4 linked regions of the Notamacropus eugenii genome follow. Each later gene encodes a partner of the first gene's protein in a complex. Links are inferred from orthologs where the notes say so. Each region holds a gene or a part of one and is shown on either strand. Other genes may lie near its edges. The genes, in order: CWC22, PPIL2, CWC27 and DHX16.

Evidence for each region.
Region 2: CWC22 (region 1) and PPIL2 share a complex: the UniProt entries of both Homo sapiens proteins name them as parts of the minor spliceosome. The link is inferred for Notamacropus eugenii from reciprocal best matches to the Homo sapiens genes CWC22 and PPIL2.
Region 3: the proteins of CWC22 (region 1) and CWC27 are in contact, whole or in part, in a crystal structure (PDB 6YVH), measured with the Homo sapiens proteins. The link is inferred for Notamacropus eugenii from reciprocal best matches to the Homo sapiens genes CWC22 and CWC27. Residues at the interface, in NP_001362958.1 of Homo sapiens: Leu239, Arg242, Lys243, Tyr245, Arg246, Asn248, Asp249, Lys250, His270, Glu271, Val272, Leu275, Glu276, Thr279, Leu280, Leu281, Glu283, Arg284, Thr286, Asp288, Ser289, Val292, Val307, Ser308, Pro309, Arg310, Gly311, Thr367, Met369, Leu372; in NP_005860.2 of Homo sapiens: Arg381, Glu382, Asp383, Gln384, Thr385, Leu386, Leu388, Leu389, Phe392, Lys393, Lys395, Leu396, Thr397, Ile400, Glu412, Asp415, Asp416, Glu417, Gly418, Trp419, Met420, Ser421, His422, Val423, Leu424, Gln425, Phe426.
Region 4: CWC22 (region 1) and DHX16 share a complex: the UniProt entries of both Homo sapiens proteins name them as parts of the minor spliceosome. The link is inferred for Notamacropus eugenii from reciprocal best matches to the Homo sapiens genes CWC22 and DHX16.

What each region holds. Positions count from the first base shown.
Region 1 is NC_092876.1:243,434,605-243,441,579, reverse strand, and holds the start of CWC22 (pre-mRNA-splicing factor CWC22 homolog), read left to right. Parts: upstream 1-3,960; 5' UTR 3,961-4,148; exon of another isoform or gene 4,149-4,437; intron 4,438-6,975. UniProt on the Homo sapiens protein: Required for pre-mRNA splicing as component of the spliceosome. As a component of the minor spliceosome, involved in the splicing of U12-type introns in pre-mRNAs. Promotes exon-junction complex (EJC) assembly.
Region 2 is NC_092875.1:8,218,364-8,225,988, forward strand, and holds the start of PPIL2 (RING-type E3 ubiquitin-protein ligase PPIL2), read left to right. Parts: upstream 1-4,614; 5' UTR 4,615-6,193; coding exon 6,194-6,420; intron 6,421-6,506; coding exon 6,507-6,556; intron 6,557-7,287; coding exon 7,288-7,333; intron 7,334-7,625. Other genes in the region: SLC7A4 (cationic amino acid transporter 4), read left to right, coding at 1-49, 1,731-1,839, 2,866-3,065. UniProt on the Homo sapiens protein: Has a ubiquitin-protein ligase activity acting as an E3 ubiquitin protein ligase or as an ubiquitin-ubiquitin ligase promoting elongation of ubiquitin chains on substrates.
Region 3 is NC_092875.1:319,599,191-319,606,141, reverse strand, and holds the start of CWC27 (spliceosome-associated protein CWC27 homolog), read right to left. Parts: upstream 3,006-6,951; 5' UTR 2,818-3,005; coding exon 2,776-2,817; exon of another isoform or gene 2,312-2,775; intron 1-2,311. Other genes in the region: protein SREK1IP1, read left to right, coding at 3,500-3,512. UniProt on the Homo sapiens protein: As part of the spliceosome, plays a role in pre-mRNA splicing. Probable inactive PPIase with no peptidyl-prolyl cis-trans isomerase activity. As a component of the minor spliceosome, involved in the splicing of U12-type introns in pre-mRNAs.
Region 4 is NC_092873.1:84,542,459-84,549,887, forward strand, and holds the start of DHX16 (pre-mRNA-splicing factor ATP-dependent RNA helicase DHX16), read right to left. Parts: upstream 3,012-7,429; 5' UTR 2,749-3,011; coding exon 2,542-2,748; intron 2,534-2,541; exon of another isoform or gene 2,327-2,533; coding exon of another isoform or gene 2,318-2,326; intron 1,607-2,317; coding exon 1,365-1,606; intron 1,235-1,364; coding exon 1,069-1,234; intron 684-1,068; coding exon 627-683; intron 1-626. UniProt on the Homo sapiens protein: Required for pre-mRNA splicing as a component of the spliceosome. Contributes to pre-mRNA splicing after spliceosome formation and prior to the first transesterification reaction.

The sequences.
Region 1 (6,975 bases):
ATCACACAGATTTATCAGCCCCACTCTCTCTCGTCCAGAGCCTTCAACGTCCAGTGGTAAGACAAAAGTCAAGACAACTGGTAATGACCCAGGATGCAGTGGATGACCTTGGTGTTTTCAATGTCTAAACAGACTCTTAAGAACTTCATAGCATCTGCTTCAGCCACCTTCATGGCCCTTGGAACATATTGTTCCCATCCTCCCAAAAGTCTTCACATGATGGGGTAGACATCCCCCTAACTCACTGAAAGTTTTGAAGCCTGTTAGTTACCCTCAACCTGGTGTAACTTGTCTGCCAAGGCAGTTTTACCATGCTGTACCCACTGAGCATGCTAAAGTTTCTTCGAGCCACAGGTGAGAGTTGAGCAACAGATGAGCACCAAAATTGGGTGTGTGTGTGTGTGTCTGTGTGTCTGTGTGTCTGTGTGTCTGTGTCTGTGTGTGTGCAAGCAGCCCAAGATGATCACAGTTCTGCCCCTCACTGCCTACTCCATCCTTCTGGGCCTCTACCTATATAATGAGGTGATTGAACTAAATGACCTCCAGGGTCCTTTCTAGTTCTTAACCAGTGATCCTATGTGATTTTGACACAGGAAATATTGGTGGTAAGGGAGATACTTACATGTAGACTATTAGTCTAGACTAGAGTCACTCTTTAAAAGGTTAATGCACCTCCTAGTGTCTCTGAAAAAACTGAAGGTCACCCTTTAGTGATTCCCCATTTTACTTATACTGAATATAACAATGTCTGTTAGTGAATGGGGAGGAGGGAGCTCAGGTGAGATTTCTTTCTACTTTCTGATAATAGCTATTAAGTGTTGTACAGGGTGATATCATTTAAAAATAATAATTTTCTTTAAAAAGTCTAGAATCCTTCTTCAGGAATGACTGAGATGAAAATTAAAAGAATGGGATCAATAAACTGAAGAAGAGCTAAGGAAGAAAAATGCCAGATTAATTTGCATTTTTACAAAGTGCCCAGGCTAGTTACTTCTATTAAGGTTACGTTAAAACTTTGCAACTTTTACTTTTTTATTTTAAAACTCCTTTAGTGTCTTTAATAAGGAAAATGTTTACTTCAAGAGAATGAGGATAAGAAAGAAATTGTAAACCTGCATCCCCTTCCTTAGTAGATCTGATTAGGCAAGAGCCTAATGATGGCCAGAAGATGGCCAGTTAAGTTGGGTTTTACCAGCTAGATGCCCTGCATTACCTTGCCTTTTTCTAAACCTTAAACCTACTGCACCCTGAAGTTCATACATTGGACGACACTAGGCCTCTGCCTAAGGGCTCTCTTCTGGACCCTCACGGCTTAAGAGTAGTCAATAGTAACCGTTGCTGTTTCCCTACCAGCCTGAGGTTGTTTTTTTTTTCTACGCCTCATTAAAGGGGTCATCCCAGGTTACTTTAAGAGGCCGATTCACTGAATGGGTGTTACCTCACCCTAAGTGAGTTCCTGAAAAGACTTTGGCACAGTCAAGTACAAGTTATGTCATCATTTCTCTGATGGCATGATCTTCTTCGGCAACGAAGGATGAACGCAGCAACAACAGATCTAATTGAAAGGAACCTAGAATAAAAAGAGGAGAGGGAGATAGTAATTACCAAGGGAAAGCAGACAGACACAGAGAGAAAGAGACTGAGACAGAAGCTTTTGGGGAACCAACCTATAACCCAAAAGATTTAACAATCACAGCAGAGCCTTGGGGCATAACCACATCTTTATATGTGCTTCAGAAAATTAATAGCAGGTGGAATCTATAAATATTTTATTAATTTAATGGGGATGATAACCAGGGTTGTTATGAAAATCAAATAAGATACTATCTGTAAAGCATTACATTAATGTTAGCTATTATTATTATTCTATTCTATTAACTTCATATCTGAGTATATCCTTTGATCTCCTTCACCCTCACTCAATGATCCAACCTATGTAACAAAGTATCTTAAAGAGAAAAAGGAGCTCAGCAAAACTAACCAACACATTGACCTAGAATGAGAAAATGTACAATCTTCTACAACCATGGTTGCCAACCTCAACAATGAAGGAAAGAAGGTACATTTTTAAAGTTCCTCTCTCGAGTCAAGGTTGGTCATTACACCATTGTTTTTGTTATTGTTGTTCTTTTCATTTATATTGCTATTGTTTTACATATTGTTTTTCATTACTTCTGTTTACTCTGCATTAGTCAAAGTCATCCCAAGCTTCTCTGAATTCTTTATATTCACCATTTCTGGTACAAAGTAATACTCCACTTATACTATGTTACTATATAACAGTTTGTGTAGCCATTCACTAATTGGACAGCTACTTTGTTTCTAGTTCTTTGCTATTACAAAACATGTTCCCACAACTCTTTTTATGTATATAGGATATTTCTTTCTATCCTTTATTTTCTGGTGGATATATGCCTAACAGTGATATATCCTTGTTATATGTATTTAGTCACTTTTTAAACATAATACCAAATTGCTTTCCCAAATGGTTGGACTAATTCATAGTTCTAAAAACAGTATATTGTTATTATCTTTAAATAGTTCTTCAACATTATCTGTGCTTATCTTTTGTCATCCTTGCCAACGTGCTGGGTATGAGGTGAAACCTGTGGACTGTTTGGATTTGAATTTATTACTAGTGATGTGAATTAATACTTCATATGTTTAACAGCTTACAATTCCTCTGAAAATTTTTGTTCATATCCATTGATCATTTATTTATTGGGGAATTAAAGCTAGGTCTTAAATATTTGTGTTTGCTTCCTATATATCTTGAATGCTGCATCTTGATCACAAATATTAGAGGCAAAGATTTTTACCCAGACAAAAGCTTCTTTGTTAACCCTGTTGCATTGATTTGTTAGTTTAAAAGCTTTTCAATATTATATAATCAAAATAATCTCATCTTTTAAGATCATTTCTATCCCTTGGTTCAGAACTCTTCCCCTAGCCACAGATGTTCTCTTCTTCTAGAGTGTGAGTGTGTGTGTGTGTGTGTGTGTGTGTGTGAGAGAGAGAGAGAGAGAGAGAGAGAGAGAGAGAGAGAGAGAGAGAGAGAGAGAGAGAGATTGATTTAATATTTAGGTTGGTATCCATATTGAGCTTATTTTGTAATATTTTGTAAGATGTTGGTCTACATTTCATTTCTGCCAAAGTAATTTCCAGTTCCGAACAGTAACTCGCTTGGGTTTTTATCAATTACCATTCCAAATTAATTAATTTTTGATTCATTCTTATCTAGTTTTTCCACCGATTTTTTTAATTTTAACTACTAACTACTAAATACTAACAACTTCTAACTTTTAACTACTACTTTACCTTCTACCTTTAAGTGTATTTGGATGATAATACTTTATGGTATAGTCTGAGACCTCAAAATGCTGTTTCTCCCTTCATTCACTATTACCCTTGAGCAGCTTTCTTTTTACACAAAAAAACAGGGTTTTCTCTATTTAAATTGTGGCTTTCAAATTTGCAAAGCACTTTACTTACATGATCTCATTTGAGAAAAGCCTAAGATGGTTGTTCCCATTTTTCGGGAAATAAAGGTTAAAATAAGCGGCATGCCCAGGGTGGTCCCGCAAATAAAGTCGGAGGCAGCATCTGAACAAACCTTCCCGACTTCTAGCAAACCTAGTCTAGCCATAACCCAGGCAGCTCAATACCTTTTTGTCGCGTGTTCCTGTAAAGGCAGAATTCTGCAGCTTTATAGGCTTTGTAACTCCTGAAGGCACAGGGAGCAAATACACTATCGGGCATTTCCAGGGTTTTCCTGCAGGAGTATCCCGGACAACTTAATAACCTTCTCAATCACGGTAAGACAGCTTTAAAGCTGAGCACCCGAGCACAGTTCTCACACAATCGTGAGTACCTCTAGAGGTAACAAGGGGAACTCGGATTCCCAGAGAGCATTGCGGCCCCGGCCGTACTACAACGTCCACTATGCACTGCGCGAACCCTCCCCTCTACGTGGGTGTACGCTGGAGCTTGTAGTTTTTTTGAACACTTCCCTAGTGACCATCTTGGCGAAGTAGAAATTTCGGTGGTTTGGGAGTGGTCGGCTTCTCTAGATGGTATCGAGATTTGGGATTATTTTAAAACAAGAAAAAATCCAGCTCTGGAAATACCGACGGCTTCTCCGTATCCAGGTTTTGAAATCAATTATCATTCACTTCCTCTCCACAGCCACCCAGCCGCCCCAAACCTCGAGTTAGGGCGGGGCCAGAGGAACCGGAAGTTGCGTGGTGGAGCATTATGGTGGCGCAGTGGAGCTCCAGGTATTTGCTGAACGCGTTTGCGAGGAATGGCGGAGCGGAGCGGGCGTGGGGCTGGGGAAGAGGGGCGCGGGGCTTCCGCATGTGGCTGCTTTGATGTACAGAGGAGGTCTGGGCAGAGCTGGCGCCCCTCGACGTGGGGCCTGCCCCTGCCTCTTGGCGGGTACGCCCCGGAGTGGAGGGATGGGGTCGCTGCCGGAGCCCTGTCCCCACGCGTGGGGATCGGGGAGGTGGGGGGGGGGGGCTCTGGGCGGTTAGAGGTGACCCCCCCCCCCCCCGACGTTTCTTAGGCGTCTGTGAGTACACAGCGCTGAGCCACAATGCCGGCACCTAGGAAGCGCTGAAGTATTTCTCTCCTAGTCCGTTCCTCTCCTCCTTTTTACCTTTACCTCGTCTTCCCTTTCCTCTTTTCCCCCTTTCCTCCCCTAATCCCCCATGTTCATTTTCCTTCCCCTCCTTCCTCTCCATTCCCCTCTAGCCTTCCCCTCTCTTGACCTGAAAGTTTGGTTAAAAAAGGCAAGCAGCCTGAATACATATGGTTTATTCCCTTAGAACTTGGGGTTCCATGACTGTGGAGCCGGAAAAGTCAGTCCCTAATTCTAATACAAGAATGACCAGGCTTCAGTCTGTTTTAGGACGTCCAGGCGTGTCTGTGTCCCTCAGATCTACGGTCTCTATGTGGGTTTAATCATTCCATGAGAAAGGAATTTTCTTAATTGAATGGATTGTAGATACAATAAGGTAACAGAGTTGACAAAGTTTCAACTGAAATTGACTCGACATCTGAGTTTTCTTCACCATTAACATACCATAACATAGTATATGTCCACAAAACATTAAAAATGTGGAAAAAAGCCCTATTATTCAAGACAGCGTCTTGGGTTAATAGTCTCATAAAGTATACTAAGTTAGCCCCATCTGGTCTTGCTGACATAAGAAGAGGTATTCTCTGAGTTTACTTTAGAGAACAAAGAGACTGTTAGGTCCAGGCTCTTCTGACTGATTAATTCAAGCTCTGGCCCTTATTAAAGTCCAAAAATGATAGTAAATGTTATCACCCTCTCTCCTCCTTTCTCCACTACTTCTCCCCCCTTTCTTTTCTTCTCTCCATTCCATATCTTCTCTCTCCATCCCCTGCTCCCCTTCTCTCCCTCTCTGCCCACCTCTCTCTGCTTTCTTCTTTTCTCATCCTACTCTCTCCTCTCTTCCACCTTTGTCTCTCCTTTTACTGTAGTAAGAGGGAGAAGTGAGGCTGGTGACCTGCACAGCCCTCTCTCACTCAAAACAAAATCAAGTGCAAGTCATGTCATTTCTCCGATGGCATGGTTTTCTTCAGCAAGGAAGGATGAACACAATCCTGTGAGTAGATGCAGCTGGCTGGATGGGGGGACCCAGCTAGCTGAGTAACTCAACTCCTCTCCTGTCTGCCTCCCTTCCCCTTTCTTCTCCTCTCCAAAGGAAGATAAATTTGGATGGCCAAAAGATGCCCAATTGACTTGGGTTTTATTGGCCCCTGTTCCAGCCTGTCCTGTCTTCTCCTGTCCTGTGACATTAAAACTACTGCACACTGAAGCTGGGATGCCTATGGACCCCTGCCCAAGGGCTCCTCTGGATCCTTCTAGCTTTGGAGTGATTATCAATAATAACTGTTGCTGTTTCCCACCCAACCTGCTGTCTTTGTTTTCTTGATCTCATTAAAGGGACCATGCTCTGGCTACTTCTTAAACGGGCCTATTCAATGAATGGGCATTGCCTCACCCTAAGTGAGTACCTGAATAGACCTTGGCCTAAAGGGGCCAAGGTCTCCCATTGCATTCTGGGTCATCTCCAGTCATCCTGGTGAATATCCGGTCACTGGATTCAGATGGCTCTGGAGGAGAAGTGAGGCTGGTGACCTGCACAGCCCTCCCTCCCTCAAAGTCAAGTGCAAGCCATGTCATCATTTGTCTGATGGCATGGTCTTTTTCGGCAACAAAGAACGAACACAATCCTATGAGTGTCAAAATATGTGTTCATTCAGTTTAGGTCTTAACAAGTTCTTGATAACATTACCTCTTCAACCTTAGCCACAAATGTTTCTGTGTAAGCTTTGATTATCAAGTTGCTCTGTTTTAAAAATTAATTTTTAAAAAATAATTATTGATGCCTTTTGTGTTTTATAACAGTCTCATTTCTGGAGAGAACAAACACTGCCTGCCCTACCTCTATTGAAGCTTCCCTTTTAACAAAGAAAAGCAACTAATATGGTTACCATAATCTAACAGCTTCTTTATCTATTCTCCAATACTGTCATTGGTTTTTCAGTTACTTAAAGTTTGGTTTCATTTTAAAGATCTTCATTTTGTATTCTTTTGGTTCTCCCTATTTCATTGAATTAGTTCGTACAAATCTACCATGTTTCTGTGAATTCTTCCTTTTTGTCATTTCTATAAAGGATGACAGCACTGAGGGCCATTTTATATTTTTCTTTGTTTAGTGGCTGTGTTCCAAGTCATCACCAAGTGACAAGCTTCTCTGTATTTAGTTAGGCTGATCTTCAAAAAGTAAACACAGTGTGTGGCATGGACCAAACTAAGGATTGGAAAATCCTGCTCAAACCTAATCTTAAACTAGTATTTCTGTGACTACTTTAAAATATTCTTGTGCAGGAAGGTGCAGGTGTAGTCTTGCTGAGTTGGTTGCTTGTGACAGGATAACAGAC
Region 2 (7,625 bases), on another chromosome or scaffold:
CCTTCTCCTTGGTGCCCATCAGCAGCAGCCAAGCCAGGATACTTTCCAGGTAACTTTCCTCCTCCAACTTCCTCAGCCCTTTTGCCCTCCCTTCCAATTTTTCTCCTCCCAAGAATCATAGTCCTTGCCCTCAAAGAACTTCCATTCTAATAGGGGGAGCAACATGTCAATAACTAGATACCTATATGGTGGTTTGAAGGCAATCTGAAACGGGAAAGGTATTGGCAGCTAGGGACCCTGGGGAAGGCCTGCTGCAGAAGGTGGGATTTTAGATGAGTCTTCACTAGGTGTGAAAGTCAGTCAGTCAGAAGATAATCTTTTCTTAAGCCCTAATGTACTAGGCATTGGTGCTAAGTGCTGGGTATACAGAAAAAGACAAAAACAAAGTTCTGGCCAGCTCTCAAGGAGCTTACAGTCTAATGGGGGAGACGACTCAGTACCAACCAGATATTTGCTGGATGAACTAAAGATAATCACAGAGGGAAGGCTCCAGCATAAAAAGGGTTGGGGAAGGCTTCCTGTAGAAGATGAGATTTTAGCTGGGACTTAAAGGACATCAGGGAGGTCAATAGTCAGCAAAAGAGGGAGCATGTCTCAGGCATGTGGGTGGCTACAGAGAATGCCCAGAGCAGACAGATAGAGGGTCTTGTTTGTGGAACAGCTGGGAGGCCTGTGTTACCAGAGCAAAGAGAACATGTTGGGGGGGAATAAGGTAAAAGACCGGAAACATGGGAAGGCATCAAAGCCATGGTGAGTAGGGGTGACATGCTTGGACCTGCACTTTAGGAAAATGACTTTCGTAACTGAGTGGAGGGTGGATTGGAACGGGAGAGACTCAAGGCAGGCAGACCTCCCCTTCCCCACACCCATCCCTAATAGCTATTGCTACAGTCCTGGTGTGATGTGATGAGGGTCTGCTCCAAGGTTGGGGAAGTGTCAGAGGAGAGAAGGAGGTTATATGCAAGAGATGTTGCAAAGGTGGAATGGACATCAGATGCTGTACAGTTGAAACTGATCAGAGATGTTGCAATGGTGAAATGAACAAGAGATGCTGCAGAGGTGAAATTGACAGGCCTTTAAACCAGCTTGAATGTATGTGGGGGGGTTCAAGCTAGTGAGGGATCCAGGATGACCCCTGGTTTAAGAGCCTGAGGGATTGGGAGGAGGACTTGACTGCAAAGGTTTTTCATTCTTTCATTCCAAAGGAGCACTCACACATTTATGCACAATGTCTAACACATAGTATGCACTGAATATCTACTTGTTGGCTGACTAAATGACTACCTCAGCACATATACTGACTCCTCCACCTGGGTGCAAATCCTTCCCACACTCACCTCTGGGACCCCTAGAATCCCCTTTAGGACACACTTGCCCACTCCCACACCGACCAAGTCCCCTCTTGGCACCTGGGGTTCTTAGCTTAGCTGCTCGAGCTTCTATTTGACTGTATATTTCTAAACAAAATTGATTTCAGAGCCAATGATGATTCTCCTCATTCTTGGTGGAGGTTGGAAGGGTTGAGATGGAAGAAGAGAGGGAATAAGGAGCCAGTGTAGATGAAGGAGAGAGATTTTGGTTATGCTCACAACCCTGGTACTGTTGTGACCACACCTGAGCCTCTGGGAGGGGGGTGAGCTGAGCAGATCACACCCCTACCTGCCCAGTTCCCCTCTCCCACTCTTTCCCCACTACTCTGTGCTTCAACCTTGCCCTCCACTGTCTCCTAGATCCCTTGGGTGCCTCTGATTCCAGCCCTGAGCATCCTTCTGAATATCTGTCTCATGATGAAATTGAGCTATATGACCTGGCTGCGTTTTGCTATCTGGTTACTGGCAGGTGAGTGTCCAAGTGAGCTCTGGCTTCTCATTCTCAGGGGCTGATAGGGTCTCTCCAGGGCTGGGAACCACTGTCATCTCCACACACCACTGCCTTTCAATGCAGCAGACATCTACCGAGGGCCAGGTGCTTTGTGAACCCTGGAGATCAATGTCCCCTGCTCTCAAGGGGCTTCTAGTTTATATTCTGTTCCTGCCCTGAGGAGGGGACTTTATCCCTTTCAAATAAACTATGACCATTTTACCATCTGATTGGGGCTCGCTTTGAGGGCTCAGGTTGGGGAGGAGGAGACAGCTGAGAGTGGAAGCTTTCTGTGCCTCTTCTCAGTCTATCTTGTCTGGTCTGGCTGGACTCTCCCTTCCTGACCCCAGGCTCCTAAGCAGAATCAGAAGTCCCCGGTTCCCTGGGACCTTAAAGGAGAGAGAATCTAAACCTGGGCAGGGGAATGTGACCAGGTTGTTTGTGGCAGTCTGGCAACCTCTTCTCACAATAATGTTTTTAAATGCACAAAATAAAATACACAGGATTACAAAGGAAACACAATTTTAAAATAGTTGTCAAAATATTTTTTAAAAAGAGTTCTTAATCCCAGGTTAAGGATCTGGGTCTTAACCCAGCATCCCTGACTAGGAAGAGGTCATGTGACCCCTGTAGGAAGACCAGAAGTCGTGGGGATCTTGTGATGTCTGGGGCAGCCCCGTTCTCATTTGGACACTTTCACCGTTAGATAATGTCTCAATATATGAAGCCCTGTGACTCCTTTACCAATGGGAAGGTTCTACTTTCTAGAACTAAACAGAACAGACTGAACACCTCTTTCTGAACAGCTCCGTCAGGTTGTTGTACACTGTGGTATTTCTGTTTGATGTCAGGAAAAGCTTACGATTAGAATGGGCTGCCTTAAATGGTAGCTTCCTATGCCTACAGATGTTTTGGCAGAGGCTGGGTAACCTCTTGTATGCTTTCCTCTCAGATGGGCACAGGCCTCCTGGGCAGCCTAACCTTTCTTTCCCCTAACCCCCACAGGGCTTGGCGTCTACTTTGGCTATGGAATCAGACACAGCAAGGAGAATGTGAAGGACGCTCAGGGTTCAGGCAGCACCCGATATGTGGTATTCCCCAGTGGAAGCCTTGAGGAGACTGTGGAAACAGTGCAGCCCCCTGGCCAAGCCAGCTCAGGACCTCCTCCCAGCGCTGACAGTCCTAGCCCGGGGAGCAGCGGCTGATGCCCAGCAAACTGTTCAGAAGGGTCCTCACTACCAGGGGCTGGCAGGCCTGGCTTCTCCTCCCCCACCCCTTATGGCTCTCTTCCAGCACCCTTGGAGCCTCCCTCTGAGGAGGAAGGAAGCATATTGTGAGAGCAATCTCCCCCACCCACCTTCCCTGCCTTCCTCCTGTTGGCCTGACCCTGAGGCCCCTACAACCAGCCACTCTGGAAGTGGCCCATAGATGTCTGTCTGGGGGTGGGGCATGGGGGCAGAGGGCTGGGGGAAGCACCCATGGGGAGCCCTTGCTTCTAGTGAGTCATGTCCAAGGGCCCGGAGGGTTAGGAGAAGTTTGGAGAGCTTGGAGGCATCTGGAAAGAGTGATGACTGATTATAAGCAATTATACATTTTTTCTTTGCTGGTGCTGTGTATGCCATTGAGACAGCTGGTACGGTGAAGAATGTTAATACCGATACCAACAACCCACACAGAACTTTCTGTCTTTGTTCTCAACAGAGGGGGCGGTGGGGCCCAGGAAAGGGAAGAGCCAGCTCTGATGGGGACGGATCTGCTCATGGTTTGTCTCCAAGGACCTGGGGTCTCTCTCCCCAGCTATCTTGAGGGGTGATCTAAGCAGTCTCTCCTCAGTCCATCCATGAATAAGCACCTACTGTGCCAGGTACCCTGTCTCAGTCACGGCACACCCAGCGATGAAACGTGGTCTGTTTGCTTCTGAGGGAGCCGATCTCTCCCTTTGCTGTGGGGATGAGTCAGAAGGGCTCCCTCCATGTGGCTGGGCTCAGGGCTCCCACGGGCCTTCACACCCTTCGGAGCTAGGGACACCTGGGCTCCCTGAGCAGCATAGCCCACAGTCAGTCAATGAGGCAGATTGGAAAGGGCCTTCTTTGTGCCCAGTCCTGGACTAAGCACCTGGATCCTGAGAAAGGCCAAAAAAAACCCAGTCCCTGCCCTCAAGGGACCCATATTCTAATGGGGTGGACTTAGATAACTAGGGTGTGCAAGCTATATACAGAGTATTGTATGCGGTATCCATGCATGGGTATGGCCCTGGATCAGGAAGGCTTGGTACAGAAGGCAGAAGAGGTGGGTCAGCACCTCGTTCGAGTTATCAAGTTTCACCTCTGGTAAGCCTCAGTTTCCTCCTCTGAAATGGGTTAACGATCCTCTCCATCCTTCCTTTTCTGGGTTGTAGATAGTGGGGAGGCCTGGGCCTCTAGGCCTGCTTCTCAGATTCCATCTCTGACCTTTCTGCTGACCGTGGGCTTCACGTCTCTGTAGAGCTGCCTGGTGGATGTTTTGTGCGGGATATCGAGCCTTAAACATAACTCGTCTTCCTGCCCAAACCCTCTCCTCTTCCTAACAGTCTTAGTGCAGTCGAGAGCCTCCAGGCTCCGAGCCCAGGTGTCAGCCTCAGCACCTCACTTCCCCTCATCCTCTGCAGCCAATCAGAAGCCGAGTTCGCAATGTTTCTGGTACACGCCCCCTTCTCTCCGAAGCTGCCCCGCCCTGATGCAAGCCCACATCCCCTCCTGCCAGTGCCAGCTGCTGGGCTCTCCCCACTCCAGTGTACCCCACTCAGCTGTCAAACTGATCTTCCTAAGGCAGGCCTGACCATGTCACCCTCCCCCACTCAATCATCCCTAGAGACTCCCTCTCCTCTCCAGGGTGGAACAGAAGACTCCGCTTATACCCCTGCATCCGCTCCCTGGCTCCTGAGGCTTCCTTCAAGTCCAGAGTAAAAGCTCACCTGGCAGAAGAAACCCTTCCCAATTCCCTTCTACTGACCATTTCTAATTCATACGTATTTTTATGTCGCTTTACACATAGCAAGCTTGCATGTTGTGTGTGTGAGAGAGAGAGGGAGGGATGGGGAACCAATTACACACACACAAAGATGGTGAAGAGTGCGTTTAGACTCCGGGCTGTCCAGGGCACGAGCTAAAGAACATTCTGTCCTCTCCTACCCCACGCTCTCAAGGAGGCACACGTTGCAGGGAGGTGACTTCCCATTTCTGGAGCCCCTGACTCCCGTCCCTCCTCCCATAACAGACCACCTTTGCCTCCATTAATGCTCCCAGAGTTAAGAACTGTCCTCTCCTGCCCCAGTTAAGGTGCCCTTTCTTTTGGGACTCCTTGAGGCACTAGCTTATTCTCTGGCTCCAGAATTCCGACCTTTGCATCCAGAATGAGCCAAACATCGGGGAAGGGGAAGGGAAGGAAGCTTTACAGGGATCCCTGGGGGTCCCTGACAATAAGGAGGCATCACCGCAGTCCCGGAAGTAGTACTAGCCTTTCTTACAAACTAAGGTTCAGCCACAGATCCAGACTGGCCCATGACCCTGACCCCAGATTTATCACCATAGGGGAAAGGCTGGGTTGCACCTTCGCCTCCCTGAACCTCAAAGTTCTCATCTGTAAATTAAGGCAGCAGCTCTCAAAGTGTAGCCTGGGGGTCCCTGAGACCCTTTCTGGGATTCTTCCAAAACTATTTTCTTACAACACCAAGCTGTTTTCGTTTCTGTTATGGCCGATGATCAACATATACAACCCACGTAAAACCTTGCCCCAGGAGGTGTGGCTCTAACTGTGAGGCCCAGGGCGCAGCCGGAGGGATGGTGCCTGAGTGGCCTCCCAGACCGTAAGGCGGAGGGGTGACGTCATCCGTCCTCCTCCCTTTCCTTTGTGCTGGAGCTCATCCACTGCTTGGGGCTCCCACCTGCGTCCTCAGCCCTCCTTGGCCTTTCCCCTGCAGGGCCGCTTAATGTGGTTGTTTAATTGAATCTGATGGATCCTGCTGCCTGGGAACTAACGGGGGGCTGGTGTGGATTAAAGGGTTTCCCTCTCTGGACCTCAGAACCCTCATTTATCAAACAAGGGGGCTGGAGATGAGGACCTGCGTTCGAATGCCTGCATTTGCCACCTAGAACCTGCGCGTCCTTGGACAAACGTGCCTCAGCTTCCCCATCTGTAAAACGAGGGGGTTGTACGAGATGGGTCCCTATGAGCTCCAAGGTCCTTTCCTGGGCGAATCTCCAGATCGCGGGGGCGATTTTCGGGGGTCCCACGGCCCTCTGTCATTTTAGGGTACTCTCCATACGGGACCTCGCCTCGCTGACTTTCCCCGCACATGCTCCGTGACGGCGGGCCCCCGCCCCACCCGCGGGACTACATTTCCCGGCACACCACAGACTTCCGGAAGACTCACCGGAAGTTCCGGAGGCACCCCGGAAGTGGGCTGCGCGGGCGGCCCGCCGGCTGTCTGGGAGGGCCTGAGCTCGGGGGCGCCCGGGTGGCAGACCCCGGCCCCGACCCCGCCGCCGCCATGGGGAAGCGGCAGCACCAGAAGGATAAGATGTGAGGGCCGGCGCTCCGCGGGGGGCGGGGGGCGGGGGGCGGGGCCGCCCTCCGCGGCGTGGCGTGACGCTCGCCTCCCTTTTCAGGTACATCACCTGCGCCGAGTACACGCACTTCTACGGGGGCAAGAAGCCGGGTGAGTACCCGCCGCCGGCCCGACCCCGGGGACCCCGGGCGGGGGGAGCATCTTCTCACCGTTGTCTCAATCGTGTTCCTCGAGCGCCCCCCCCAGCTCTGCCTTGTTTAGCCCCCGCGACGCCTCATCTCCCGCCTCTGCGCCTTTGCACGGCTGCCCCCGTTGCCTGGGGTGCTTCTCCTTACAGCTGCCCCAGAATCCCCCTCCTCTCTCTGCAGAAAGTCTGTCCTGGCCCCCCGGCTGCCGCCCCCCCCCCAAACGGGCCTTATAGACCTACCCCTTGTCTCCTGAAGAAGCGTCCGCGCTTGGAGGGCAGGGAGCGTTCCGCTCCTGGCACACAGTTGGTGCTTAATAAGTGCTCGCTGGGGGGCCCACGAGGAGGAAGGGGCTGCAGCAGGACGTGAAAGTGGGTGCCCAGGACGGCGCAGGGCACGGCCAGGGCTCCAGGGAGGCCCTTGGACTCGGGCTCCTTCCGGCCTGGGTGGCAGGGCCTTGGCGTTACAAGGGTCCGGGGGCGTCCAGGGTGACCCCTGGAATGCTGGGGCTGGCTGGTGAGCAGCCTGAAGCCGAGGTGGGGCCTGGGCCAGGGTTCCGAGAGAGCGGGGCCGGGAGATGGGCGCTGCTGCCCCTCCTCCGCCAGGGCACTGGAATTGGGGGTGCCCGTAGGAGCCCCCTGGCGGCCTTGCTTCCAGAGCCAGCTGTGACGCCGGCCCCCGCTTCGTTTCACACAGATCTCCCACAGGCGAACTTCCGGCGCCTGCCGTTTGACCACTGCAGGTAAGAGCTTCCCTGCCCCCCGTGGGCTGTTGGATGAGCCCGTGTGAGCGGCTTTTGGCTCCAGGCCACTCCACGGAGGACCGTGGTCCCAGCCACCGACACTCGGGGGTTCAGGCTGGCCCTCGGGGGCTCAGAGGCTGCGGGGAGGGAGGGAGGGTGGTAACACGGCGAATGGCACTCACTGAGAAAGCCCTGGCTCTGTGGCAGGCGCTGGGCTGAATGCTGGGGACACAGGCACAAGGGAGCCCTTCCCTGCCCTCTGGCAGCTCTCCTCTTCATGGGGGGCCAGGGA
Region 3 (6,951 bases), on another chromosome or scaffold:
ATCCTCTTCTTGATATTCTCTTCTCTCTAGGTTTTTGGGATATGACTCTCCTGATTCTCCTCCTACCTATCTGACCACTCTTTCTCTGTCTCTTTTGTGGGATCTTCCCAAAGATCATGCCCTCCAACCACAGATATCCTTCAGGGTTCTACCTGGGGCTTTCTTTTCCCTCTATACTACTTCTTCACTTGCTGATCTCATCAGATCTCATCTATTTAATTATCATCCTTAAAGCTAATGATTCTCAAATTTACCCTTCTTTTCCCAGTCTCTCTACTGATCTCCAATCTCACATCTTCAGCTACCTTGTAGACATCTTAAACTCAATATATTCAAAATGGAATTTATTATCTTACTTCCTAAACCCTCCCCTCCTCCTACCTTTCCTAATACTGTAGAGGGCAAAGCCATCCTCCCAGTCCTCAGGCTTACAACCTAGGAGTTATCTTGTACTCACTGTCAACCCCCATTTCCAATCTTTTCTCAGGGGCCTGTTGATTTTACCTCTGCAGCAACATTTCTCAAACATGCCCTTTTCTCTCCTCTGACACTGTCATTACTCTAAAGTGAACCCTGAAAATAGCCTGCAGGTGGGTCTGCCTGCTTCTAGTCTCTCCCACTCAATTCACCCTCCATTCAACCAAAAATGATTTTCCCAAAATGCAAGGTCGACCATGTCTATTCAATAAACTTCACTCTTTCAATTATCTCTATTTCTCCAGTATATAACTTGCTTTGCATAGATTTGCATATGGTCTACCTCATAGATTATAAGCTTTTTGAGGCCTGGAACTTTCTTTTACCCTTTTGGTATCCCTGGTGCTTAGCAAAGTACCTGGCAATTAAGCAGGTGCTTAATAAATGTTTACTGACTGTTTTTCTTGATAAAACTCCTGTGGGTCCCTATCTCTTCCAGAACCAAATACAAAAATCCTCTGTTTGACCCTTCGTATTCTAGAGCCCTCCTTTACTCTTCTTAAGCCTTTACTCTATGAAATGTACTCATCCTCTTCAATCCACTGATACTGGCCTCCTTGCTGTTCCAGGAACAAAATACTGCATCTCCCAGCTCAGGACATTTTCTCTGACTGTCCCCCAGGCCTGGAATGCTCTCCATCCTCAACTCTGCCTAGTAATTTTCCTGGTTTCCTTTAAGTTCTAATTGAAATCCCGTCTTTCATTGAAAGTCTTTCATAACCCCTCTTAGTTCTAGTGCCCCAAATCTCTCTTAATTATATCCTAGTTATCTTGTATATAACTTGTTTGTACATGTTTGTTTGTTGTCTCCCCCATTAGACTGTGAGCTCCTTTATGGCAGGAACTGTGTTCTCCCTCTTTTTGAATCCCCGTTTAGCACAGCACTTGTCACAGGGGTTTAATAAATGTTGTAGTAGGCATTTAATAAATGCTTATTGGCTGGCTGACCACTTACTAGCCAGGTGACCTTAAGCAAGTCCCATCATTCCATCTCCCTTCCCACATCTACAACAGGAAGGGTTTGGACTAGGTGGTACCAAAGGCCCTACCTGGATCTCCAGCATCTAGATAGGAGGTTCCCAAACTTATTTGGCTTAAGGACCCTTTTCAAAAAAACATTACTTGGCACACCCCTGGAAATCTACAAAGAAAGTTTTCTTTAACACTTTAAAGTGTTTTTTAAAATTTGCATCATTTCAAAAAAATTTTTTTTAAATTACACAAGCTAAATCTAATAATTTATTATAAATTTGTGGGGTTTTTGACTGCATTGAAATTTTGAACATAGTATCCTATTGTAAAAAGTCATGGCCTGCAGGGATTCCCGCTGATATTCTGGACTTTCTGACAATGCAGGGCAACCTCACTTGCCAACATCTGCTTGTTTAAGACCTGCCCCTGGACTTAACCACTGATGGGCTATAGCTTGCACTTTGTATGCTTATTTGGAAAATCACTTACTCACAAGGACTTTGACTTCATTACACAACAGATGAGACATGTACAAAGTTTTTCAAAATTTTCTTCTCTTCTTTCCTTGTGCTTCCACAGCCCCTTATTTTTATTAAGCTCTCCCAACTGCACCCAAGGTTTCTACCACCAGTCCTGCCCCGAGCCTGGATCCTTCCAGCTTCGCCCACTTTGGGATCCTTTGAATCCAGATTCCAGAATCCGGATTTTGGATCATAGTGGGTTCATGATAAATACTTGACTGGGCTTCCTTTCATGCAAGGATTCTTTACCTAGGGGATGTAAACAGATTTTGGGGGGGTGGGGGGGAAGAGGTTCCTGTAAATTTGCATGGGAAAAAAATTACATCCTTATTTTCACTAACCAATTATTCAAAATTCTTCTGAGAAAGGTTCCACAGACTTCACCAGACCGGCAAAGGGGTCCAGAACACAAAAGAGGGTTAAGAGTCCCCTGCTTCAAAAGTTCTGAGGTCGAAGGAAGGCTGGGGGGAAAGAGGAGAAAGTAGACAGTTCCCCTCTCTGTGTGTTTTGAAAAACTGAGCACCCAGTTCGCGTCGGGTCCAACTGCAAATCTTCCCCAAGTATGGGGGATGGAATCTGCCATGTCCTTAGCTGTCATCTAGTCCAGCTTCCTCACTTTAAAGACAAGGAAACTAAGGCCCGGGGAAGGTAAGTGACTGATCCAAGGCGGCACGGCTCGTAAACGACAGGGCGGGAATTCGAACTCGGGTCTCCCGACTCCAAGGTGCGGCCGGCGCTCTCCACAGCGCACCCCGCCAACAGGGAAGCGAGGGGGAAGCTCCCCCGCGCCCGCGCGCGCTCTCACCTTTCCGTTGGTGGGCGGCTCCTGGATGTAAATGTTGCTCATCCTGGACGGCTGTCGGGGGAGGGGAGATCCGCTGCCGGGCTCCTTACGAGGCTCAAGGGCTCTCTGTCTGACCGTCCGCGCTGCACGGCGAAGGGAAAGCCCAGCGGGCCAGTCCTGACAGCTCCTAGAGGCGGCCTCAGCTACGGCATCAACTGCCGGTCCTGCCCTTCCGACAGCCTAACAAGGCACTAACTGACCCAGGCGGCCGCCATACTGCACCTGGCCCTGCGCACCGCTCTCTGCGGGGAGGGGTGTCCTCGACCTTCTCCTACAGAAATTCTCCTGGAGAGAGTGAAGAGAGCCCGCTGAGCATCCGCTTGAAGTTAATATTCATTTAATTATCTAGCTTCGCAAGAAACTTTCTTTTGTTTTAAATCAATCTTTAGTTAACGATTGGCAAGTCCTAAACGCCCTCCCCCGGTGTATGTATATGTCAGAAATGGTTTGGACCACCAGTGCTCGGTCTTATGCCTCCGTCCGCGAACTGCGGCTGAAACTGCCGCGTTCTGTAGTCTTCCTCGGGACTCGGGTCCCTAAGAGGAGGCTGTGGCGGGAGAGGGGAAACCCGCGGCGCAGCCGGAGTCACCGGAAGCGGTGTCCGGGGAGCGAAGGCGGCGGCGGCGGCGGCGGCGGCGGCGGTGGCAACGGCAGCTGAGGCCCAGAGGCTGCTTCCGCCCGGGCTATGGCCCTGCCAGGTGACTGCCCCGGGGTCGGCCGGAGCACGGGGAGGCGAGCCGGGAGGGAGGTGGCGGGGGAGCTCGGAGCTCTGCGGCCTGGGCGAGGGAGAGCGTGAGCGGGAGGTCAGGTTTCCGTGGTGGATTGTGTATGTGTGTGTGCGGTGTGATTGTAGACTGTGAGTGTGTATATGGGGGATGTACTTACATGTATGAATGTAGTGGGAACACGTGTGTGGTGTATTGTGCATATGTGATCACGTGTACGTGAGTGTGTATGTGTGGTGTCTGTATGTGTGTGTAGCGTACGAACACATGTGTGATTGTGTCATTGTGTATGTGCGGTGTGTGTACCAGGCGGTGGAGGCAGCTAGGTAGATCCGTGCCTAGAGGTTCATGTGAGGCCTCAGACACTCCTTAGCTGTGCGGCCCTAGACAGATCACCTCCACTGGAGAGGGGAGTGGCCAGCCCCTCGCCTATCTTTGCCAAGAGAACCACCTCACAGGTCATGAAGAGTGGGATACAACACAGCACACATGTCATTGGGTGGCGTATTTGATTACGTTTGCGTGGTATATGTTTATACGTATATGAATGTAGTATGATTGTGTGTGATTGTACATGTGCGAGCATGTATTATGTGGGCGAAATGTGTGCTGTGATATGGCTTGAGAGTGTGGGATATAGACATGTACGTGGCTTGTGTTGCGTACATGTATACACATGCGTGTACACAAACACATTATGTTTGTAGTTGTATGTCATGTCTGGTGTGTGTATGTGTTTACATGTGTATGCTTATATGTGTATATATGGTATATACATATTTTATGTAATATATGTTTATGAATATATGTGTGTCTGATTATGTTATATGTGGCGTGCATGTATGAGTGTAAGCATGCTGTATATGCATGTGGTATGCATATGTTATGTGATGTATTTTGTATGCATGGGTATATGTTTATGTGGTGTACATGCATGTGCGTGCGAATGTATAAAGTATATTTGTGGTATGTATGTGGTGTTACATATATGACAGTATTGTGGACAGTGTATATGTGGTGTGTGTTTATAGGTATATATGTTGTGCGTTCATGTCTGCATGTGGTATGTATATATGTATACATGGTGTGTGTGCACAGATGTTTGTGGGGGAGAGAGTAGGAGAGATGGGGGAAGCGTGATATTTTTAAAAGTTTTTTAATAGTAATAATGCCTTTTTTTTAATTAAGTTAAACTCCAGAGACAGGGTGGTGTAGTGAAAAGTGTCTAGAAACCAAAGCCTAATTTTAATTAATCTAGATGTGACATATTTTCTACATACCACCACCAGAGAGCAAGACACAGTCCCCTTAATTTCTTCGTGCCTCTGTTGACTCCTTTAAAAGAGGTTATACACTAAGTGGTTTTTAAGGACCCTTTCCAGCTCTAAATTCTATGGCCCTAAATCAGGAGTTCTTAACCTTTTTTCCCCTGGGTCATGGACCCCTTTGGCAGTCGGGTAAAACCTATGGATCCCTCACCTAAATAATGTTTTTAAATAATTGAAAGAAATACTCAATTTTAATTAGAGGTTAGTTTTTAAAAAGAAGTCTTTTTCCCCCATCTAAATTCACAGTCTCCTTAAAATCTTTCCACAGACCTCTTGTCTATTTTGTATCCCAAGTTAAGAATCCCTACCCCAAATTGAGGCATGGTTAAAGAATGAAAATTTCTCTGAGCCAGTTTCCTAAGTGAATACTTGTCCTACCTACTTTAAAGTATCATTCCTGGGAATACACTCAAATCAATTCAATAGGCATGTATTAATTGCCCACTTCATGGTACAGTGCTTGGAGATGGAGTCAGGACCCACTTAAATTCTCTGCCTCTTTAATACCTGTATAACCTTGGGTACCTCACTTAACGTATCTGGAACTCAGTTTGCTTACCTGTAAAATAATAGGATTAGACTAGATAGCATCTGAGATAACTTTCATTTTTAAATCTATGATCCTATAAACTGCCTCCCCAAATCTACGTTGTCAAGGGATATGGGGAAGTAGAATTTTGGTAAGTCAGGGATCATTCTACATTCTTGGTACTTAGTATTTCTGGAGAGTATAACACACACACACACACACACACAAATTATAATATAAAATTATACATGATGTGTACATTAGAGATTTATGTAAAATGCTACGTGAGGTCCCAGAGAAAGAGTTGGCATTTTAATTTGAATTGTAAATAATGGATAGGAATTCAGTAGACGAAAGAATGGTAGGGGAATTCCTTTGGGACTAATGAAAAAGATTCCTAAAGGTACATTCCCAGAATAGCCACTTTGGCCTGAACTAGATAGTTGATGTATGACGGTAGTAATGCCAGACTGGAGGGTACCTTACATGCCAGACAAGAGATTGAACTTTGCCTAGGCAGTAAATTAAGGCTATTGTAGATTTTTTAGCAGAAAAGTGATGTGACCTGATTTCCAAATGAGGAATTCAGCAGAGGAGGAAAGCATTCATTGGACGGTAGAAGACTATTACAGTAGTGCACGTGAATAGTGATTATTTTCTACGTGAGGGGGATGGTAGTGCAGAAGAAAAAGGAGGAGGTATCATAAAAATGGGAAAAGGTCCCACATGTACAAAAATATTAATAGCAATTCTTTATGTGGTAGCCAAGAACTGGAAATTGAGGGAATGCCCATCAATTGGGGGATGGCTGAACAAGTTGTGGTATATGAATGTAATGGAATGCTGTTGTGCTATAAGAAATGACAAATAGTCGGACTTCAGAAAAACCTGGAAAGACTTATGTGAACTAATGCTGAGTGAAATGAGCAGGACCAGGAGAACATTATAGACAGTAACAGCTACAGTGTGCAAGGAGACTAAGCCCTTCACAACAATGCAAGGACCTAAAACATTCCCAAAGGACTCTTGAGGCAAAATGCCATCCACATCCAGAGAAAGAACTATGGAATGGGAACACAGAATGAAGCAGACTATTTTCTCTTGTGTTATGTTTTGGTTTGGTTTAGTTTTTCTCATGGTTTCTCCCATTCATTTTAATCCTTCTATGCACCATGACTTATGTAAAAATATTTTTAATAAGAATGTATGTGTAGAACCTATTGCAAGCCATCTCAGGGAAGGAGGGTGAGGAAGGGGGAGAAAATTTAAGAGTTATGGAAGTGATTGTAGAAAACTGAAAACAAATAAATTAATGTAAAAAAAATAAAAAGGAGGAGATGGTTGTGAAAAGATATTGCAGAGATGAAATTAACTGGGCTTGATGGCCAGTGTGCCAAGCTGCAGCATGTACTCTCTGTATGACCATGGGCAAGTCACTAATAGGAGCATAGCTATTCTCATCTTTTCAAATGCTGACAACCGTATTGGTGTGTCTCACTTTAAAGGGTTGTTGTATTTGAAAAGCACTTCTGAAATTTCAAGTATGCACTGTTTG
Region 4 (7,429 bases), on another chromosome or scaffold:
CTAGTGCTTTTTCTACTATATCACACAAGAACTATAAAGACCTGTTTCCCCAAGCTGGATGACTAGGCAGAGGACCCCAAAGCCAGTGCATCCTGACATCTACCCAGTCATTCCTTTTCCTTCTGAGCTAACTTTCAGTTGCACATTCATCAATGACACAAGGAAACAATCTCCAAAAGAAGTTTATCCCCCTGTTAATACGATGTATAACTTGGTCCTTGAAGAACCAACCACGGAGGGTTTGCAGCAAGCTTGAACATACTTTTCACGTGCAAGCAGTCTTTCTCATGGTTATCCTTTGTACCTCTTGCAGTAGTGTCTACATATAATCCAAACCTCAACTACAACCTGTCTCAAGAACCTGACAACTGATAAGAACATGAGATGCAGAAGTAGAAGGGTCCATATAGATCATCTAGTTCAGCCAACTCATTTTACAAATGAGTTAGAGGAGGCCTCAAATGGCTAAGACACTTGCCCAAGATCACATAGACAGAAGCAGTAGAATGGAGTTTAACCAAAATCAAGTCCTCTGACTCGAAACTCTTTCCATTATAACACACAGGGGATCTTTTCCAGGCATCTAATCTTGGCTCACAAGAGAGGTTATGGGGGATATGACTTACCATTGCTTTCTGGTCTTCTTCAGCCATCTTAAGGCGCTTCTGGGCCTCCTCATATGCCTAAAAGGAGAAATAAGGAGGTAGTTAAGGAACCAGGCTCCCACCCCCACTTCTACAGAATCATAAGGATCATGAAGACAGATTAGAGGTCATAGTACCTTATGGGGAGAATTGTCTATGAATGCAGATGCTAAAATGATGCTTAAGAGACTCTGTACTCAAAAAAAAAAAAAAAAAGACTGTACTCTCCATAGTCATACTTGCCAGAATAACAACAAACATGGGGCTACAAGGATCCAGTTCCCTTCATAAGGACTATCATCTGTGGGGTCACAAATCTGACAATGATATCAGGAGTATAAAACTACAGAGGGGCCTTCCTTGGCTGCCACTCTCTTTCGAGTATCTACATAAATTGTTATGAGACACACCAACAATTATGCACCTTCTTGTCTGACCGCTCCAAAATATTTCGTGTTCTCTCCTTGTCCCGCTTTCGCACACGTTCAGCAAAAGCATCCCGTTCCTCCAGGTCCTGAAGCCGCTCCCTCTCAGTTCGTTCCCACTCATCTTCTGACTCTGGCTTTTGCTCTTTGCTGCTCTCATTCACCCTGCAGATCAGCCCCAGTTTAGGTAAAGTAAGAGAGAAACAGAGTCTAATCATACTCTGACTCATAATTATTGGCTCTCCTACCCAAATTCCACTCCCCTTGGGGAACTTTTTGTTGTCAAGATACTCACTTTGTCCTCTTCTTGTCTCCCTCAGAGTCCTGCTCTTCTTCCTCCTCTTCATGGGTCTTCTTCCTAAGATGTTTCCGTTTCTTGCTCTTTTTTTGGGACCCACTTCTCACTAGGCTCTGGATCTCCCGATCGCTCTCTTCACTTTCCTCCAGAAGCTGGTATGAACGATTCTTCTCTAGCAGAGCCAAAGCCTCACGCTCTGCCACCCGGCCTGGCCTTTCTACAACTGCCTTCCGTGGGACCTAGGAAAGGAAGGGATGACAAAAGGTTATCAGCTGCTAGCTCCATTTGCCTATCTCAGTACCCTAGAGCACTTGCTTCACATCTTTCATCATCTATCCCTTTCCTATAACTCCTCAGTTTCCACACATCCATTTTATTTCCCCTTGTAACCTCCACAAACCAGCTGTCTCTCCCATTAAACTGTGAGCTCCCTGAGAATAGGGGCTGTCTTTTGCCTCTCTGAATCCTCCTAGTTTAGCACACGTGGTGACTGTGATCTCTTCCTACATGTATTCCTATGATCAGAGCTAGCACTAGGATATACTCAATGAAAACAACAGCTTCCCCAGTTGTGTGTGTTGAGGAGCAGTTCAGGTGAGGAATGAGAGGATGAAGCCCTTTTTTTTTGATCCCTGGATCCTTAATGGTCTTTCCCCTTGAATTTCCCATGACATTTTGTCTTGCTTCTCTCTCAAGTGAGGTTGGTGACCCTGCACAGCTCTCCCTCACTCAAATCAAAGTCATGTCATCATGTCATGTCATGGTCCTCTTGGAAAACTAAGGCCACACGCAACGACAACCTGATGGAACCATCCCACCCGCTGCATGCAGATCTACTGGTGTCTTATCCCACAAGTAGACCACGTAAACCCTGTAATGCCCCCTCGTGAGCCCCGCTGATGCCAGCCCGACGTGTGCTGCACTTTGGGGCCCCTCCTGCGCCCTTTCACCAGTTTCATCTGCAGGAGGACACCACATGCCGTCGGTGCCCGTGGGCATTTATGGCGCGCAGGTTCGTCACTATTCACAGCCGCTAACCTCCGCGCCACCGAGAGACGTGGTGGCCACGGACGGACTTCCCTCGTCTCCCAGAGGAGGACATCCGGCCCCGCCCCCACCTCCCCGGGCTTGTCTCCCCGGCCTCCGGGGGCTCCCTCCGCGTTCCCGGAAGCACCTTGGCCCAGAGCCTCAGAGCAAAGTCCCGGGCCGGCCCGCTGAGGTCTAAGGTGCCGGTGTCCCGCAGCCGCTCCACGAACTCGTCGGCCGTAGCACAGCGCTTCGCCGTGCCGATGAGGAACTGCGCGACGTGCCGCTCGCTCAGGCCCAGCACGGCGTGCAGCTCGTCCTGCACCCAGCGCTCCAGTCTGGCCGGGGTCGCCATGGGGACTTGGGCGCGTCAGCCGGCCCCGACTTCCGGCGCTCGGCCCCAGCGGGGCCCCGCGGCCACGGCAATGGTCCCGGCAAAGGCCGCGGCCCGGGCGCGTGCGCTCGGAAGGGAGGCAGAGCGAGGGCCCCTCAGGGCCCCGAGGCGCAAAGCCCGTAGCCCCGGCACCCACCACTTCCGGGCCGTACCGCCAGCCAAGCAGGCAGGAAAATGGCGATACGAAAAGGGACCTTTCGGGAGGCCGAGGACAAGAAAAACTTCCGGTTTGAATTCCTACCCCGTTTCTTTTTTTGGCTTCCCCCTACAGGAGTGGAGGTCTTATTGCATGTGTAGCGGGCGGCGTTACAGGCTTCGCCAGGCTTCACCTGCCAAGAAGAGGAGCATGAAGGATAGAAGTTAGATGTCTAGGAGGACTTCGCAGCAAGGAAAGGCCGGGAACCAGGATCTGGGGAGAGGTGGAAGGGTTAAGTGACTGCCTGCTCTCTCTGTGCTGGGGGAAGCGCCTCCTGGATGAAGTTTGAAGGAAGGATGGGATTTTCTCAATATCAGGGCTTTGGGAATAGTACAGTGGGCATTTGTGGAAGATATATAGAGATGCCCGAGAACTGGAAAATCACCGAGACACTCACTATTATGTCAACTGCCTTGTCCACTGGTAGAGGGGAAATCTCTCAATTAGAGACCAGACTGTAAGGTCTTAAAAGAGATTAGAGCTACAAACATTATATCTTGCACAACTGATTGCTTGGGTAGCAGTGTGTGCCTGAATATTTGAAATAATGGAAACAGTAGTTTCTGATATTCCAGCTCATGAAGTTGATACTGTTGCTTTCTATCTGCACATAACCTTGGGGAAGTTACAGCTTCTCAGGACTTCAGCTTCAATAGCTTTCCCAAACCTTTTCATCCCTCCTCAAAATTCCTGTGACTCCCTCCCTTATTCATTCAACTGAGAACATTAACTCATATTTCATTGAAAAAATTGAGACTGTTCATGGAGAGCTCGTTCTCCTAAGATCATTCGGATAGAATGATCCTTCACCTCTGTCTCACAGATAGTACTTCTTGCCATGGCAAATTGCAACATACAAGAACATTCTCTTCTCTTGCAGACTATCTTCCCTATTCTCTTGTTATTTTTTGGGGGGGAGTGGGGGTGGGGGTGGGGGGGGTGTCCAAGCAATTGAGGTTACATGAGTTGCCCAAAGTTACACAGCCAGTAAGTGTGTCAAGTGTCTGAGGCTGGATTTGAACTCAGGTCTTCCTGACTCCAGAGCCAGTGCTGTACTCACTAGGTCACCTAGCTGCCCATGTTGTTAATCTTTAGTCACTTTTTACCTACTAGCTGCTTCCCTACTTCCTAACAACGTGTCCTTGTTAACCCCATCCTCATTTGATCCATCTATCCTCATAATTGTCCTTCATCTTTCCCCCCTTTTTTGTGGCTACCCTCCTTGAGGTTGTCTACAATGGGTGCCTCTACCTTCTTTCCTGTCTTAACTGTATAGTTTAGCTCCCATCTTCATCATTTAACCAAAACTACCAATGATGTCCTAATTGCCAAATATAGTGACCTTTTCTCAGTCCTCATATTTCTTGATCTCTTTGCAGCCTTTGACACTATAGATCACTCTCTTAAAAAAAAATACTCTTTCCTCTTTAAGTTTTTATGACAATATTCTTTCCTGGTTCTTCTCCCAGTGTGAATGCTTCTTCTTAGCTTACTTTTCTGGATTCATTGAGGGGAGGAATCATTGTGGAGAAGAAGCCCACCTTCCTATCCAACTGCCACCAATAGTCAGATGGGCCCTAGAAGTGGCAACAGGTCTTAGATCACTGGTCCTGTTTCAGGCCTGGCCATTACAGTCATCATCTAGAGAGGTAACTCCTCTGGTGAAAGAGCCAGCCATCCCCAGAAACTGCCAACCAACTGCCACACACAAGATACCTAGAGAGAGAGCCAGAAGGCAGCATGTGTCTGGCAAGTCAGATTATCATTACAACCTTGACCACTATCTCCTTTCGGAACCTATGGGCACAGGTCATGATCCTGAACCTGAGTCTTGGGAATAGCAATGCTTCCAACCTCAGTGCCTTCAGTCATCGTCCTAGGAAGCAAACCCTGTGTAGATGCAGCCTGACAACTGCTCTTACAGGCGTTACAGCCACAGCTAACTGGACCCAATGTAGTCCTGGAAGACCCAGGATTCTTGCTACCAAAGCCCTTGACACTGTAAAATGGTTCATTATCAGAAACCAATGATTTTATCAGTGGAAAGGACATAATCTGCTTTGCCTCTGCACCCTGAAGATCATGAAACCTTTCCAATATGTTATCTCTATTATAATGTGAGCTCCTTGGTTAAGAGTAGGGACTGTCTTACTTTTCTATGTATATCCCCCAGTGCTTAGCACAGTACTTTGCACACAGCAAGTTCTTAATAAATGTTTTATTCATTCATTTGAGTGATGCCCATTAGCCTTGGGTGTCCCTAAAGTGTGCCCTCTTCTCCTTTCCCTTTATACTATTTCACTTAGTGATTCCAAGGATTCAATTACCTCTCAATTGATGACTCTTAGATCTACTTACCTAGCTCCTCACCTCTCTCCTGGCCTCTAATCTCCTGTCTTCAGATGGATGTTCTGCAGACATCTTAAATTCAACATATCCAAAACCAAACTCATTATTTTTCCCTCCAAGACCTCTTCTCTTCCTATCTTTCCTATTATTGTCCACTGCAATCCTCTAACTACTCAGGGCTTGTAGCCTATGTATCATCCTTAACTCCTCACTCTCACTGCCCTCCCCATCCAATCTGTCACCAAATTCTGTTCTTTCTCCTTTTTGTAAAAATCGAACTATCCGTCATCTTGTTCTCTATTCTGACACTGCCACTATCTTGCCTTATCACCTCACACCTGAAATATTGAAGTAACCTCCTGATTAGTCTCCCTGCCGCGTCTCTCCCCACTCCAATCCATCCTCTACTCAACTGTCAAACTGATCTTCCTTAATGCACACATCTGACCAGATAACCCTTTTCTTTCACTCAACAAACTCCAATGGTTCCCTATTACCTCTAGGATCAAATATGAAATTCTTTGGTCTACAAAGCCCTTAATCTTCCGGCCTTCTCCTGCCTTTCTGGTCTTTTTATACCTTACTCTGCAATCCAGCAATACTTTGGATGGAACCCATCTCTTGATTCTGGGCATTTTCAAGAGCTGCCTGAACTCCTGGCATTCTTTCTCTCATCTCTGTCTCCTGGTCATCCTGGTTTCCTTCAAGATCCAGAAAAAATTCCCCCTTCTCTGAGAAGCCTTTTCCAATCCTCCTTAATTCTAGTGCCTTCCTTCAGCTGACTATCTTCCATTTATCCTGTATCTGTATTGTTTGTGCATAGTTGTTTACATGTTGTCTTTGGATCTTATTAAATCTTTCCTTGAGAGCAGGAACTGGTTTTTGACTTTCTTTGTATCACCAGTGCTCAGCACAGTACCTGGCACACAAGTAGGTGCTTAATATATGTTTGTTGACTGAATTTCTTTGTTCATAAAATGAAGATAATTGGACTAGATGAACTCTAAGGGCCCTACCGGGCCTACAATGAATTCCTTTTGGAGCCAGCTACAATAGAACTCCCTACCTCCCTTCTATGGGCTACACACCCTAAGGAGGGAGATTTTCTTAGCTATTTGTGAGGGTATCAGGTCCACTTCTCCATCTTTTCAGCTCTTCTCACTTGATTTTTTTTTCCCCCAAAGCTGTTCCCCCTGCACTGAAGTCTCTTCTTCTGCTTACAACCAACAAAGCTAAAGAGAGTTCAATCTGTTCCCTAGAACAGGGAATGCCCTTCCCTTCCCCTAGAGCATGAAAATCTGGTCAAATTCATGCTTCCCACCCCATAGACTTCTCATTGGAAGAATTAAAGATGTAGCCAGAGAGGCCTCCATTTTATTACAGAAAATTAAAGAAGGAAAAAAAGGCCATAGACAAGGAGATGTAAGGTAGGACCTCATTAGGACCCTCCTGTGTTCCCTTCAGTTTAATTCTGGGTCACTGGAAGAAACATAAGAATTAACTGCTACAAGGGAGGGAAAGATTGAGGTCACCCCTCCTCCTTTTGGAAGACCCAAATAATACTGAACAAGGCAGGGTTAGGGAGGCTAGACATTCAAGAAGAAAGCCAAGCTCCAAACAGTAGAAGGCAAGTGAGAGGACCGCCCACTGGTTGAGTTGTGGTAACATAACCATGGCAGGTGTGATCTGTAAACCTGGAACTTTGGCTGAGTGAGACTTGGCAAAGTGGAAGCTGTAAACATAAGTGGGTGGAGACCCAGGCAGAAAAAAAGTACATCTTTAACCCCCAGAGGGGATGGATGCACCTGTAAACAAACAGAAGGAATGAGGGCAGAACTTCTCAAGGCAGAGTGGCCTGCACTTACCAACCTTGGGGCAGGGTGGGGTGTTGGCACGGTGGGGTTAGCAATGGATAGAGTGCTATTCAGAAGGAAGGAAAATTCTACCTTCTCATGACTCAGTAGGCTTTGCCCCCTTCCTTAGGGGATTTGGATTCTTTGACTCCCAGAGAGCCAAAGGCTCTCTCCTTTCGCTGAAAATGTCTAGAACACATTGTACAACAGTCTGAACCTAAGATCATGAATTAGAGGTCAGATG